3 linked regions of the Rattus norvegicus genome follow. The protein of the gene in region 2 interacts with the protein of the main gene of each other region in a pairwise test. Links are inferred from orthologs where the notes say so. Each region holds a gene or a part of one and is shown on either strand. Other genes may lie near its edges. The genes, in order: Clns1a, Lsm2 and Dnaja1.

The links.
Region 1: the proteins of Lsm2 (region 2) and Clns1a interact in binary tests that used the Homo sapiens proteins (3 or more experiments, as listed by UniProt). The link is inferred for Rattus norvegicus from reciprocal best matches to the Homo sapiens genes LSM2 and CLNS1A.
Region 3: the proteins of Lsm2 (region 2) and Dnaja1 interact in a two-hybrid assay, tested with the Homo sapiens proteins (2 studies listed by BioGRID and IntAct). The link is inferred for Rattus norvegicus from reciprocal best matches to the Homo sapiens genes LSM2 and DNAJA1.

Annotation. Positions count from the first base shown.
Region 1 is NC_086019.1:161,429,156-161,433,579, reverse strand, and holds the start of Clns1a (methylosome subunit pICln), read right to left. Parts: upstream 2,912-4,424; 5' UTR 2,887-2,911; coding exon 2,747-2,886; intron 1-2,746. UniProt on the Homo sapiens protein: Involved in both the assembly of spliceosomal snRNPs and the methylation of Sm proteins.
Region 2 is NC_086038.1:3,848,825-3,853,265, forward strand, and holds the start of Lsm2 (U6 snRNA-associated Sm-like protein LSm2), read right to left. Parts: upstream 2,842-4,441; coding exon 2,839-2,841; intron 2,670-2,838; coding exon of another isoform or gene 2,559-2,669; intron 2,309-2,558; coding exon 2,241-2,308; intron 38-2,240; coding exon 7-37; intron 1-6. UniProt on the Homo sapiens protein: Plays a role in pre-mRNA splicing as component of the U4/U6-U5 tri-snRNP complex that is involved in spliceosome assembly, and as component of the precatalytic spliceosome (spliceosome B complex).
Region 3 is NC_086023.1:60,637,053-60,641,215, reverse strand, and holds the start of Dnaja1 (dnaJ homolog subfamily A member 1), read right to left. Parts: upstream 2,813-4,163; 5' UTR 2,702-2,812; intron 2,421-2,701; exon of another isoform or gene 2,343-2,420; intron 1,649-2,342; 5' UTR 1,639-1,648; coding exon 1,507-1,638; intron 1,411-1,506; coding exon 1,233-1,410; intron 1-1,232.

The sequences.
Region 1 (4,424 bases), on a different chromosome or scaffold from region 2:
GCTTTTATTCCAGGCCTAGGCAGGCTTCCAGCATCTACTGAGAATCAGATCAGACCCTTGGACTGAGCAGCTTCTGGAGTCTTGGGCTTTCCATTCACAGACAGCCATTGTTGGATTAACTAGACCTCACCTGTAAGTCATCCTAACAAATCCATATTCTCAAAAGATATGCCTACTGCAGAGTTCAGGGTATAAAAGTGCTTAAAAAAACAAAACCCTCTTCATCTATAGAGCAACTCTGATGGTGGACAAAGCCAGGTGTTTATGCAAGAAACACATGAATGTGAAGGGAAGCAAGTTTGGTATGTTGAGGGGTGAGTTTGGTTGGTGTATGTATGGAGTAGTTGGGCTTCTGTGTCTGTATCTTAGGAGACTGGTATCAAACAGCATAAAAATAACTTTTATTCTCCTACAGTAAGTGTCATCTCTGAAGTTTAATTCCTCCGCTGCTAACCTAGGCCTAGTCTTGGAAGACTCTAGCCTCCGTACAATCTAATCTAGGCTAGACTTACTGCTGAAAAAACTCGCCCTTTCCCATTCTTTCTGACTGGTTTAACTTGGCTCTTTTGGGGCAAACTCCTCTCCAAGATGGCTGATTCAATCTGGTTTCTCTCAGTTTCTCCTGAATTGTTCTGCTTGGCATCAAACTAACTCTAGCTGATCTGACTACTCATTCTCTGCCCCCCCCCCCCTTTTTTTTCTCTAACCTGTCTCTGTACAACTATTCCAGTAAAACTGTCTCCTTCCTTTTTCTGCACAGCTCTTAAATAGCTTCCCTTTCCTCTCATTTCTCCTGAGAGTTGGGCATATCCTATTTGGTCAAGTCTTTCTCTGATTCATCACTCTGTCTGCCACTCATTTAGACATCACTTTCAATCATGGTGCTTCCTTCTACAAACTAACTTGACCTTCACTGTTTAGGATTCAAGGTGTATACTAAGGATGTGTCTGTCTTCCAGTCAGAGGCTATAAAGAGGTGTGCTAAAGGCTGAGCCACACCACGACTAGAAAAAAAGGACTTTTCTAGTATACACTCTTGGGGTTCACAGTGTGATCAAATGTCCAAAAGACAGATTTGAAATTCAAAAGAGTAGGTATTAACATACTCACTGGAGTAGGCTATATAGTCCAGAAGAGAGGGCCAGGCAAAGGACCTTAGAGAAATGCATGCGTAAAGAGAAAAAGACTTAGGAGAGGGAAGGTACACACAGTAAGATCTTGGGTGATCTCAACAATTTCTTCTGCATGTGGAGTGTGAAACACAGAAATAATCCTAACTCTGAAAAACAAGATCCATTTTATTTATCCATGTGTATTTTTGATGTCTTTTAATATTATTTAATTATTTATTTAATGTGTGTACACTATAACTGTCTTCAGACACACTAGAAGACGGCATCAGATCCCATTACAGATGGCTGTGAGACACCATGTGGTTGCTGGAAATTGAACTCTGTACCTCTGGAAGAGTAGTTAGTGCTCTTAAGTGCTAAACCATCTCTCCACCCATGTGTATTAGTCAGGGTTCTCTAGAGTAACAGAACTTACAGAATGAATGAATGAATCTCCACCACTTCTTCCTACCCACCCCCTTTCTTTCTCCCTCCTGACTGCTCCAAACCTTTTATATATATATATATATATATATATATATATATATATATATATATACACATATATATATATATGTGTGTGTGTGTGTGTGTGTGTGTGTGTGTGTGTATATATATACACAAACAAACTGAGTGCCCACCCACATATGTATTTCCAGTCGGTGTCTAAACACCCAGGCTTTGCCCCACCATCCAAACAGTTCTTTAAACAATTAACTTCTTACACTTTTATACCCTGGACTCTGGAGTAGGCATAATCTTGGTCCCTAAGAGATTTGTTTCCCAGTGCCATGACAGAGGGGATTCTGAATGTATTTAAGGTTACTAATCAACTGACTGTGATATAAAGGAGGCTAGCTTGGATTTTTCTAGGCAGGCCTAATGTTATTTATAACACTGAGCTCTTAAAAGAAAAGTAGCCTCTGGGGCCAACAAATGAAATACAGCAGATGGTAAACCAGAGAATCTGAAGGACAGAAAGTATGAGAAAGATAGTAAGGCGGGAGTGGGGGTGTGAGTGTGGGGTTGGGGGGAGACAGAGAGAGGGAGACAGAGAGAATAAGAACAGGAAAATATGGGGGTGGGCACGAAGGTATGAGCGTGTGTATAGTGTGTATTTTAGTGACTCGTCTATCTTATTGTGGAAGTACAAAGTCCTGCAAGTAGTCAAATACAAGAATTCCTTCCAAGACCTGCACATCCAGGAGTCGGGTTCGACTGGTTATGACTCCGCCCTGCGAGGGCCTGAAGATGCTCTTTTCCCCCACCCACATCTGGAGCGGAAAATCCAAGCTCATTAATCAAACGTCCTAAACCCGTCACAATCTCCTCTGAGCTACATATTCCACGCAGGGAAAACATCTAGTTCACACGATCATTCAGAAAGCCAGGCCCATCGAAAAACTAGCCGAGGCTCTGCAGACTCAAAACTAAACGCGACCACGCGCCAGGCTTGCAGGAGACAGGCACAAGTCGTTAATGAGAACAGAGCCAGCTGAGCTCCGGAGGGGGGTAATCCCACCGGGCCCGCATAACAGCAGCGTCGGCCGACGCCCCCCTGTAGTACCCCGTGGTCGCGCCTCTGGGAGGAAGGCGCCCCCGAAGGAGGCCGGCGCCGGAGTCCTGGAACCTACCTCTCCGCAATGTAAAGCGTGCCGGTGCCGAGCCCCTTCCCGTTCAGCACAGCTTCGGTGTCTGGCTGCTGCAGCCGGAGTCCATCTGCGGACCCAGGGGGCGGGAAGCTTTTGAGGAAGCTCATTGCGGGCGAAAGCATTGCTCCACAGGAACCAAGAAAGCAGAGCACCGCAATCCCGGTTCGCAGGGAGCTGCCCCGGAAGCAGTAGCCGTACTCCGGAAGAACAACTTTCTCATCGAGGAATTTCGCGTGCAGTTGACCATAGAGACGGGATGTTCTAGGCAACTCAGAGATCTGTAGCGAGCCGGCCTTCTGTCACGTGATACTGGTTCCCTTCTCAGGCTCCCGTAAGGGTGCTTAGAATAACCGAGTGTTTTCTCTGTGGTTCTACTTCAAGGTCGTCGCAGAAAACCCTGAGAGAGGCTGTATGAGGAATACGAAGACTTTCCCAATAAAAAGTGGGAATGGGCCTAGGCCCCTGGAGTCCCTTGCCTGAGCAGGACGCACAGAAATAAAATCCACACTCATCTGGAGGTCAAAAATCTCCGGGTTGGGTGCACCCTGCTTCCTCCTCGTCGGGCCTGTTCTTCTTGGGTTCACACAGCCATTTACCAGGCCTTTTAGTTCCCATGTCGCCGGAGAGGTCGAGTGCCCCATCCCCACGTGTCACGCCAGGAAGACAAAAAGATTACATTAATTGATCAGCAGCGCGGCCAGACAGTCAAAAGACAGTGCCCAGGGAAAAGGTCTGGAACCCTTGCCTTCCCAGCTTGCTAGGCCCCCAAAAAATACGTGCAGTGAAAACATACAGATTTAGTAAATAGAAACCTATAACCGAGGCTTATAGAACACACAGCATAAGGACCTTACCTCTTATTTCTTCATGGATTCGTTCGTGGTTTTAGATACAGGGCTTCCTTCTGTAGCCCATGCTGGCCTCCAATACATAATCGATATGCACCCTACTCTAGGGTACTAGAACTATTACGGGCATCCATCACTACACCTGCTCAATTCAGTTTTATTCTGATGATAAACAATATGAACACATTTTTATTACTGACCCAGTTTTACAGATGAGACCATTAAATTCACAAGCTAAAGTTTGGTAATGACTTGGTGGATGGAATTCAGTCAGCTGATCTCTAGACTCCACCTTTTTTGGCTGTAGAATTGTAATGTCTATGGGGTCAGGGCTGTTTAGGTTGGATAACATGTAGAATGTGATGGGAGTTTTGTCTTTCCTCCTCTTCCTTCTCTTTCTCTTCATCCTCCTTCCCCCACCCCTCCTTTTTTTTCTTTTTGGAATCGTCTCAACAGAAGTATCTTTAGATTTTTTTTTCCTTACGATTTAAAAAAACAAAACAACAACAAAAAAACCTCTGTGTACATATTGAGTGCAGTTGCCCAATGACTCCAGAAGTGGGCACTGGATCTGCTGGAACTCGTTACAGGCAGGTGTAAGCTACCCTGCCTGGGTGCAGTGAAACCATCTGCATTAGGCATTCTCAGAGGCTGGTCCAATGTCTCCAGTTCCAAGTGTTAACGCTTTTAAATTTAGCCAGTTTGTCATTAGTGAGACTAGAAAATTGGTCCACTGACAGGAATGAGAAGGTGGGAGTGGAGTATGGATGAGGAAAGATTCTCGAACTCTCTGAAGTTAAAATCTTCACTCA
Region 2 (4,441 bases):
TCTCACCTGGTCCACAGAGTGCAGGGTTCCACAGATGCTGTGGGAGCAAAGAGGAGAGAAGCATTCATTTATGCTGGAATCAGCAGAGGGAAAATCAGAACTACAGTGACAAGGGGGGAGGAACTCTAGGCCCTGAAGCCAGCAGGCAGCCCCTGTAAGTTCTGAGGTGGAAATGATAAAGCACCTCAGACTCAGTCTGTCCTCACACCAACACATCAGAAGCTCGTAGTCAGGCCGGGCCTATGCTCCATTTAATATTAGTATTTCCACTTTAAGACAGGTTCTCACTTGGCCCAGGCTGGCCTCCAACTTCTGGCATTCCTACCTCCACTTCTGAAGTTCTAGAACTACAGCTAGGAGCACTACTCATGGCCATTGCCCACTGGGTTTCCCTGTGGGGTTCTAGAACTAGCTCTGTAGATAAGGCAGGCTTCAAACTCCCCCCTGCCCCTGCCCTTGCCCCTGCCTCCTGAGGGCTAGGTTTAAAGGTTTAAGGGATGAACAGCCATCAACCACTCAGCTAATCACCTTTCAAAGTAGTATCATCCAGGACTTATGAGAGGTCATGTAAGGTACCAAAACTTACACAAATGAACTGGAATGTCAGCCCTGATCTGCACGACTCCCAGAAACATCCATTATTTTTAAATACTGATTTTTACTATTTGTGTGTATGTGCATGTAGTTACCCACAGAGACCAGAAGAGGGCATCAGATCCATTGAAGCCAGAGTTCTAAGGAGTTGTATTCAGCCCAACAAACTGTTGTCAATCACCTAATGTAGCTGCCGGGAACTGAACTCTATTTCTCTGGAAGAGCAGCAAGCTCTTTTTAAAGCACCAAGCCATCTCTGCAGCTCCAATAGCTGTTACTTGTAAACATTTATGCTTTGGAGCCAGAGACCTACATATACATGGCAGCTGAAATTAACTATTATTAATGCTACACTCCCCCACCCTCTAGTCCTGAGTACAGTTATCAAAGCCACTGCTCCCACACCATGTTACCCATCTTATATTTACCCACTGCACGGAGGTGCAGAGGAATTAAAATTTTAATTAACAACCCCAGATCCTGCATTTTACTTCTTCACTCTCTACATTCTACGAACCCCCACTGCTCTGTGGAAGAACACTTGTGTGGTCTGACTTTTAGACTAGAAAAAGTCTTAGCTACTCTCCACCCCGGCCTGGGCCAGCCTCTCACTTGCCCACACTGGCCATAACCATCCTGCTTGTCAACACCACGTTCTGTCTTAGAATCAAGGCTCTCAAGCACTGACCTGTGCTCAAAGGTTTCAAGAGTCTACAAATAAAAGGATTTTAAAAAGAAACACGAGGGCTGGAAATGAAGTTCACCTGTTGAGCATGCCCATCCAGTACATGAAAAAAAAAATAGACATCAGTGACACCTATAATTTTCTAAGCACTATTAAGAAAGTAGACTCTAGAATTAGGGATTTAGCTCAGTGGTAGAGCGCTTGCCTAGCAAGCGCAAGGCCCTGGGTTCAGTACCCAGCCCCGAACAAAAGAAAAGAAAAAAGAAAGAAAGAAAGAAAGAAAGAAAGAAAGAAAGAAAGAAAGAAAGTAAGTAGACTCTAGGGGCTGGAGAGATGGCTCAATGGTTAAGAGCACTGACTGCTCTTCCAGAGGTCCAGAGTTCAATCCCAGCAACCACATGGTGGCTCACAACCAACTATAATGAGATCTGATGCCCTCTTTTGGTGTTTCTGAAGTCAGCTACAATGTACTTATGTATAATAAACAAACAAACAAACAAAAAAAGAAAGTAGACTCTAATGGATGATGTGACAAGAAGCCATAAACATCTTTCCAGTGATACAGCATTTAATCCACTCCTGAATGGTTAAGAGCAAATGATACAGCAGGGCAAATCCTAGCACTCAGGAGACAGAGGCAGGCGGATCTGTGTGTTCCGGGACATCCAGGACTGCACATACATGTTACTTAACTGTATCTCACTGTGTAACTCTGGCTGGCCCTGGACATATGTAGACCAAACTGTCCTTGAATTCACAATTCTGCATCAGCGTTGGGATTACACGCATGTGCCACAGCACCAGGCTCACTCTTAAACTAATCTTTACACTCAAGACACAAGATATTTCTTCTGTGTTTTGCCCCTCTGCTCTAAAATAGCTTTGTGAACAACAACCACGAAAACGATCAGGACACCAGGCACCTCCCACCTTCCACCAACTCGCTGAAATAAAGACCTACCTCAGATCATTCTTGAGTTCCACGACTACATCCTTGCCCACAAGGGACTTGAAAAAGGAGTAGAAGAGCTATTGGAAAAGAGGGAGGAACTATCACATGAAAAGGGACAGGGAGGAGGAACCCGTGACGGCATTTGAAATACCAGTCCTTTTGGCCCCACCTAGTAGTTCTCAAAATTTCACCACCATCAACAATCCGTTAACAGAGACTGCAATTCCTGGGGCCACAGAGAGACAATAACTGCGCTGCACCCCTCGATGCCAGAACCCACTCTCCGAATCGACCACCTCCCTGCTCGAGACCGCTTCCCAACCGCACCCTCACAAAATCCTGATCTCCAGCACGGAAATGCAAGACTAGCTTTCCGTTCTCCCCCGGCGCCCGTGGGCTTTCTCTTGGACTTGCTGGAAGTTTCCCCAAAAAAACCATTGGTTCCAAGCAGTCTCCTCACACAGGGTGTGGGCCCTGAGGTTGTAAGGAAAACCCTAGGGCTTAGCTACAGCCCAAGGCAACAAACACTAGAGCGCAACCAAGACCCGAACAGTTCGAACCGCCCGCCGCGGGCGGCGGCGCTCCCTTTTGACGTCACGGTACCCACCATGGTGCTGGCGCCACGAGGGGCGGCCTGGACCGCGAAGGAAGGCGCCGGGGACTGCGGGCCGGAGGCAGGGCGGGAGCCGGAGCACGAGCCCGCGCGTGAGGCAGGACAGGATCACGCAGGCGCAAGGGGAACCGCGAAAACCGCGGCTGAATCTGGGCTCAAAGGGAGCGGAGTAGGGCAGAGCAGAGAGGACCGCCAAACCGGGAGGAGGGCGGGACTTCCTGTCTCCCACTTCCTCCCAAGGAACTCCTCCCTCCCGAGCGCGTGCGTGGGCCATAGCAGCTGCGCGTTGGATGTAGTTCGCCTCCCTGATAATTTTTTAGATTCTTCTCTGTGCCGGGTGACTTGCTCATACTCTACGCTTTCTACTGAGAATTATTGGGAAGATTGAGAAAATTATGACTTGCATATTCTTTTAAAAAAGATTGAGTTATTATATATAAGTACATTGTAGCTGTCTTCTGACACACCAGGAGAGGGCATCAGATCCCATTACAGATGGTTGTGAGCCACCGTGTGGTTTCTGGGATTTGAACACAGGACCTCTGGAAGAGCAGTCAGTGCTCTTAACCGCTGAGCCATCTCTCCAGCCGTATTATTTTTACTAGTAATTAAATGGGAAGTTGCTAGGTTATAGCTTCTGTAGATATCATGTCTGGATAAATAGGAAAACACTTGCTATTTTGTCTTCTCGAGGCTGGCTGTTGGTGCAAGGCAGTCATGGTACACAGGTGAGAATTCTGAGAGACTAGGCCTGCTGATTGCATGATACCAAAAAAGTCGGTTTCCTGGGGGTCTGGGTGAAGCTTGGAGCATGCCTGCCTGTGTAGGCCAGAGATGAATGCTGGCTGTTCTTTCCACTTACTTAATATTTTAAAATTTTATATGTGTGAGTTTTTCCTTGCACGTATATCTGTGTACCACATGTGCAGTGTTCCCAGACACTAAAAGAGTGTGTTGGATCCTCTGGAGTTATAGTTGTTAGCCACCATACGGGTGCTGGGAATCAAACCCTGGTCCTGCCGAAGAGCAACATATGTCCTTAACGACTTAGCCATCTCATTTTCTGAGACAGGATCTGCCACTGATCCTGGAATGGACAGGTTCATTCAGCTAGACTGACTTGCCAGCAAGACCCTAAGATGTGTCTTCCCTCTCTGTCCTACCTACCCCACTCCACCTGTGCACATCACTGTGTTCAGAGCTGGATCCATCATGATTACCAAGCAAGATGTTACCGAGTTTCAACAGAAACTTTAACACCTGAATCTAAAAGAGGCTGTCACTGGTTAGAAGCAGTCAGTACATTTAGCAGCTGCTTCCTATGGGCTCAGGGTGCCTGAGAATTAGAAAATATTTTTCCTGGCAGGTGTAACGTTCTGTAATTCCAGTCATGTAGGCAGCATGAACGAAAGACATTTGAGGCAGACCTGCCTCAAAACCAAAAAAAAAATTGTTGGATATGCTCAACTTACACAAATTCAAGTACTTTGCCCTTATCAAGTTAAACACTCACAATGGACTCACAAACAGAAAATGCACGTCCATGGGCTGGAGAGGTGGCTCAGCGTTTAAGAGAGCTGACTGCTCTTCCAGAGGT
Region 3 (4,163 bases), on a different chromosome or scaffold from region 2:
CTGCAAGGAATGGCAAATGTTCTTAACCACTGAGCAATTTCTCAGGCCCATAGGTAAATTCTTATAAAAACACAGTAAACAGATTTTCAAGTCTTCTTAAACCTTTAAAAGGGCAAAGTGAAATTTAATGGGCTGCCGATTTGTTCTAACTGTGCCTACCCATTAGTTTGTATTAACTATATTGAGAACAAAGTGCCATTTTAACCTCCAATACTGTCTTCCCATAAAATACGTCTTTTGATCCAACAGTCAATGCATCTAAGCTGAGCTAATGAAGCTGAAGAGTAAACAGGCAGCAGGCTATCTGGAGGCAACGAGCTGTATCCAGTCTTTGCTTGAAAAGGTTTCGTTTTCTCCAACATATATTTTTTTTTTTTTTGGTTCTTTTTTTCGGAGCTGGGGACCGAACCCAGGGCCTTGCGCTTCCTAGGCAAGCGCTCTACCACTGAGCTAAATCCCCAACCCCTTCTCCAACATATTTTTAACAGAAAAAGGCCACTGCACTTACCACTGAGTTCTAAGAGCAGGTGATATTATCTAAGATACAAAAGGGCTTAGAAACCCTAAGTTTTTTTTTTTTTTAAAGATTTATTTATTTTGTATATGAGTACACTGTAGCTGTCTTCAGACACACCAGAAAGGGACATCAGATCCCATTACGGATGGTTGTGAGCCACCATGTGGTTGCTGGGATTTGAACTCAGGACCTCTGGAAGAGCAGTCGGTGCTCTTAACCACTGAGCCATCTCTCCAGCCCAGAAACCCTAAGTTGTTACTACAATTTGTTACCCTACTGTTTGAAAATATATGGAGTTGGTTATACCTGCTTTTTTGGCTTAGCTACTTTTTGGTTACATAAAATCTCAATTATAGGGGCTAGAGGGAAGGCTCAGTGGTTAACAGGACTGGCTGCTCTTCTAGAGGACCAGGGTTCAATTCTCAGCATCCACATGGCAGCTCACAACTGTCTATAACTCCAAGATCTGACACCCTCATCCAGACATACATGCAGGCAAAAACATCAGTGCACATAAAATAAAAATTATAAAAAACCAAACAAACCAAACAACCACAGCAACTCAATTATAAATGACACCAGAAGTCAGAGACAGTTCATGGACAGAATGTAACATCACGCTAAAGAGTAAAAAAACATTTAAATAAATTCTCAAGTCTTTCTTTCATCAGCAGTTACTTTGTTCTGCTGCAGGTAAGCTAGATTTTTTTCTTACCTCTCCTTTCTCTTTGCATCCTTCCTCCTCCTCCAAAGAACATATCAAAGATATCCATGGGCGAGCCAAAACCTCCACCTGCTCCGCCCTCCTTAATCGCCTGCTCGCCCCCTTTATCATATAGTTCCCTTTTCTTGGAATCAGCAAGAACTTCATAAGCTTGAGAAATCTGTTTAAACTGTTTCAGAAAAGGATATCCCATTAGAAACAACTGTTAGAAAGCACAGCTACCGTACAGACTTAATTCACATGGCAACACTGCTGAGCTGCTTACCTTTTCTCCTTCATTTGGATTTTTATCAGGGTGGTACTTCAAGGCCAATTTTCTATATGCCTTTTTCAATTCTTCCTGGGTGGCATTGGGTTTGACCCCCAGAACATCATAGTAAGTAGTTTCTTTCACCATTTTTTACAGCCTGAAATCAGAAAATGATAATTTTAAACTTGCTTTTACCTTTTGTACAAAACAAAACAAAACAAAAAAAAAACATCTGCTTCTGCCTCCTGAGAGATGACTGGCTCTTAACTTATAGTTTTTAACTACCAGAACTAAAGCAATCTGGTTTTTTGCCTTTATCTCATATTAATACAGCCTTCCCTAAACGTCTTAAAAGGTAAAAATTCCTGCTATGATTCAGCTGTAAATTCTAACAGACTAAATTTAAATTTCAGGGAAGGCGAAGGAAAGTCTGTCTAGCAGCTGGTTCCTGCTCTACTGCACTAACACATGAATTATTGGGTTTCTTCCGGTTTCCTTTCCCCCAGAGGTTTTGCTAGTAACCCAAAGCAGCACTGATAGGTTCCATCCACTGGTTAGTACATTACCACTGCCTTTGTACATCTGATAAAGGCCATACCCTCGCCGGAAAGGGACACTGGACACCCGGGGGTGGAGGAGTGGCTTATGAGACCAGCTCGAGAGAGCAGGTGCCCAGGCCCCTTCGCCATCCTGCTCCTGCTCGCTCGCAACTTACCCACTCTCGCCCCTCAGGCCTGCGGAGCTGACTCGCCCTCTGGGTTTCCCCGGCACCTGGCGCCGACCGTTAAGGTTTCCTTCCTTTCTCCCTCCCACCCTGATCGAAAAGGCGGAGGGGGAAGGCCGGACTCAACAAAGAAAGGGAGGAGAGCCAGGAGAAGCGCAAGCCGCAGCCTCCGCCCCGCTCCTCCCGCAGCCCCTCACCCCTGCCTCGGTCCGCGCGTGCGCAGCGCTGCCCACCCAGCCCGGGCGGCGGTGCGCACCGAAGAGTCTGAGGCGGGAGGCGAATTGGCTTCGGCCTTGGGCCGCCTCGTGGCGTGCGGGCGGGCAGGGCGCCGGGCATTCCCGGCAGCCTTCCGAAGACCGAGCCCGGCTCAGGGAACCCACAGTCCCCGCCCACGCGGGACCAACCGCCTCCGGCTGCGGCTTCCCCGGCTGTCTGGTGCCCAGGCCGCACGCCGCGACCGAGGGAGACCCAAGGACCTAGACTCACCGGTGAGCGGGCCGGCGCCGGAGAGCGGAAAGAGGAGCGTAGCACAGCGCAGCTCGGCCAGACGCTGCTCCTCTACCACCCACCGAGCGTTCTGGAAAGTTCCGCCCGGCCCGCCGCAGCCGACCTCTTTTGTAGCGGAGCCCGGGCGCGTCACTTGCCGGAAGTCCCGCCCCTCGCTTCTGCCACCGCCCCTCGGTTACCTGGGCAACGGCGCGGGGGCGGAGAGTGGCTGCGCCCAAGGGCCTTGTGGGGGTGGACTCAGGCCCGGGTTCCCGATCCTTGTAGAATCTTCTAGAGGCTTTTTCTTTATGCGAGGTACCAGAGGGCGGAAGTCTTGAGGTGGAGAGGTCATGTCCCAGAGCCGTAAGCCGGGGACGAGTGCTTCAGGCGCTGTGCAGAAGGGATCCTAACCTCACCGGAGTCTAATTTTCTGCAGCTCCTTAGCTCTGAGCCTTGCGGGCAAGAAATGCTGAGCAAGGCGGGCCTAGTCCCTAGACTAGCCTTGCAGGCTTTGGATCCGGTGGTTTCACCCAAGCGCACTCCTGTCACAGCTTTTTGGATGAGCCCAGGCTTCAGATCCTTCTGGCTCTGACTTGGGCGGACAGAACCTGGGACTGCACCAAACAGGAAACATTTAGAATGCTTCACGCACCTTTTTAGTCAGTCTGCCACCCAGTTTGGCTGCAGAGTAGCAGCAAAACACGAAATTAATTGCTTTAGTTTATTGTTTCAATTTTTTGACCGTTTTTATTTCCAGTTAGTGAATCAAAATCTATAGTTGGCAAAGTTGAATCTTAAGCTTTCAAGGGACAGTGAATGTTTTTCTTATTCAGTAACACAATAGACACATCAAAGAAGTGGAGGTGCAAGCTTAAAGAGTTCACATAGTTTAAAAAGATTTAATTCCAATCGTGTGTATCTGTGTGTATAGGTGCCCAAGGAAGCCAGAGACATAGAATCTATGAATTTGACTATTCCAGATAACTTAGTCACATTTTATTATTTAGTTTTCTTGTTTGACTTCTAAGGTTTTTTTAGTTACTGTTTGTATATGAGTGTTCTGTTTACATGTGTGTCTATGCACCCCATGCATACCTAGTTCCTGTGGTAACTGGAGGTACAGATAATTTTAAGTCACCACGTGGATGCTAGGAAGTGAACCTGGGGCCTCTGCAAGAGCAACCAGTGCTTTAAACGGATTAGTTATCTCTCTACACCCCTTAGCCTTGTTTTTGAGCCCAGACTGGCCTGGTACTCTCTTTGTAGCCAAAGCTGGCTTCAAACTCTGAACTCTTCAGCCTCTGAGCAGTTGTGAAGAGGAAGACCATGGGGCCTCCTGCTTAGACTTTTGTGGAATAAGATGTGTTAAATGTTTGTTATATTGTGTGTGTTTTAACTGTGGACCATTATTGTAGTTCTCTCCTTTACACAGGTAACTCGGGTCTTCTGTGCTTCACCAGCT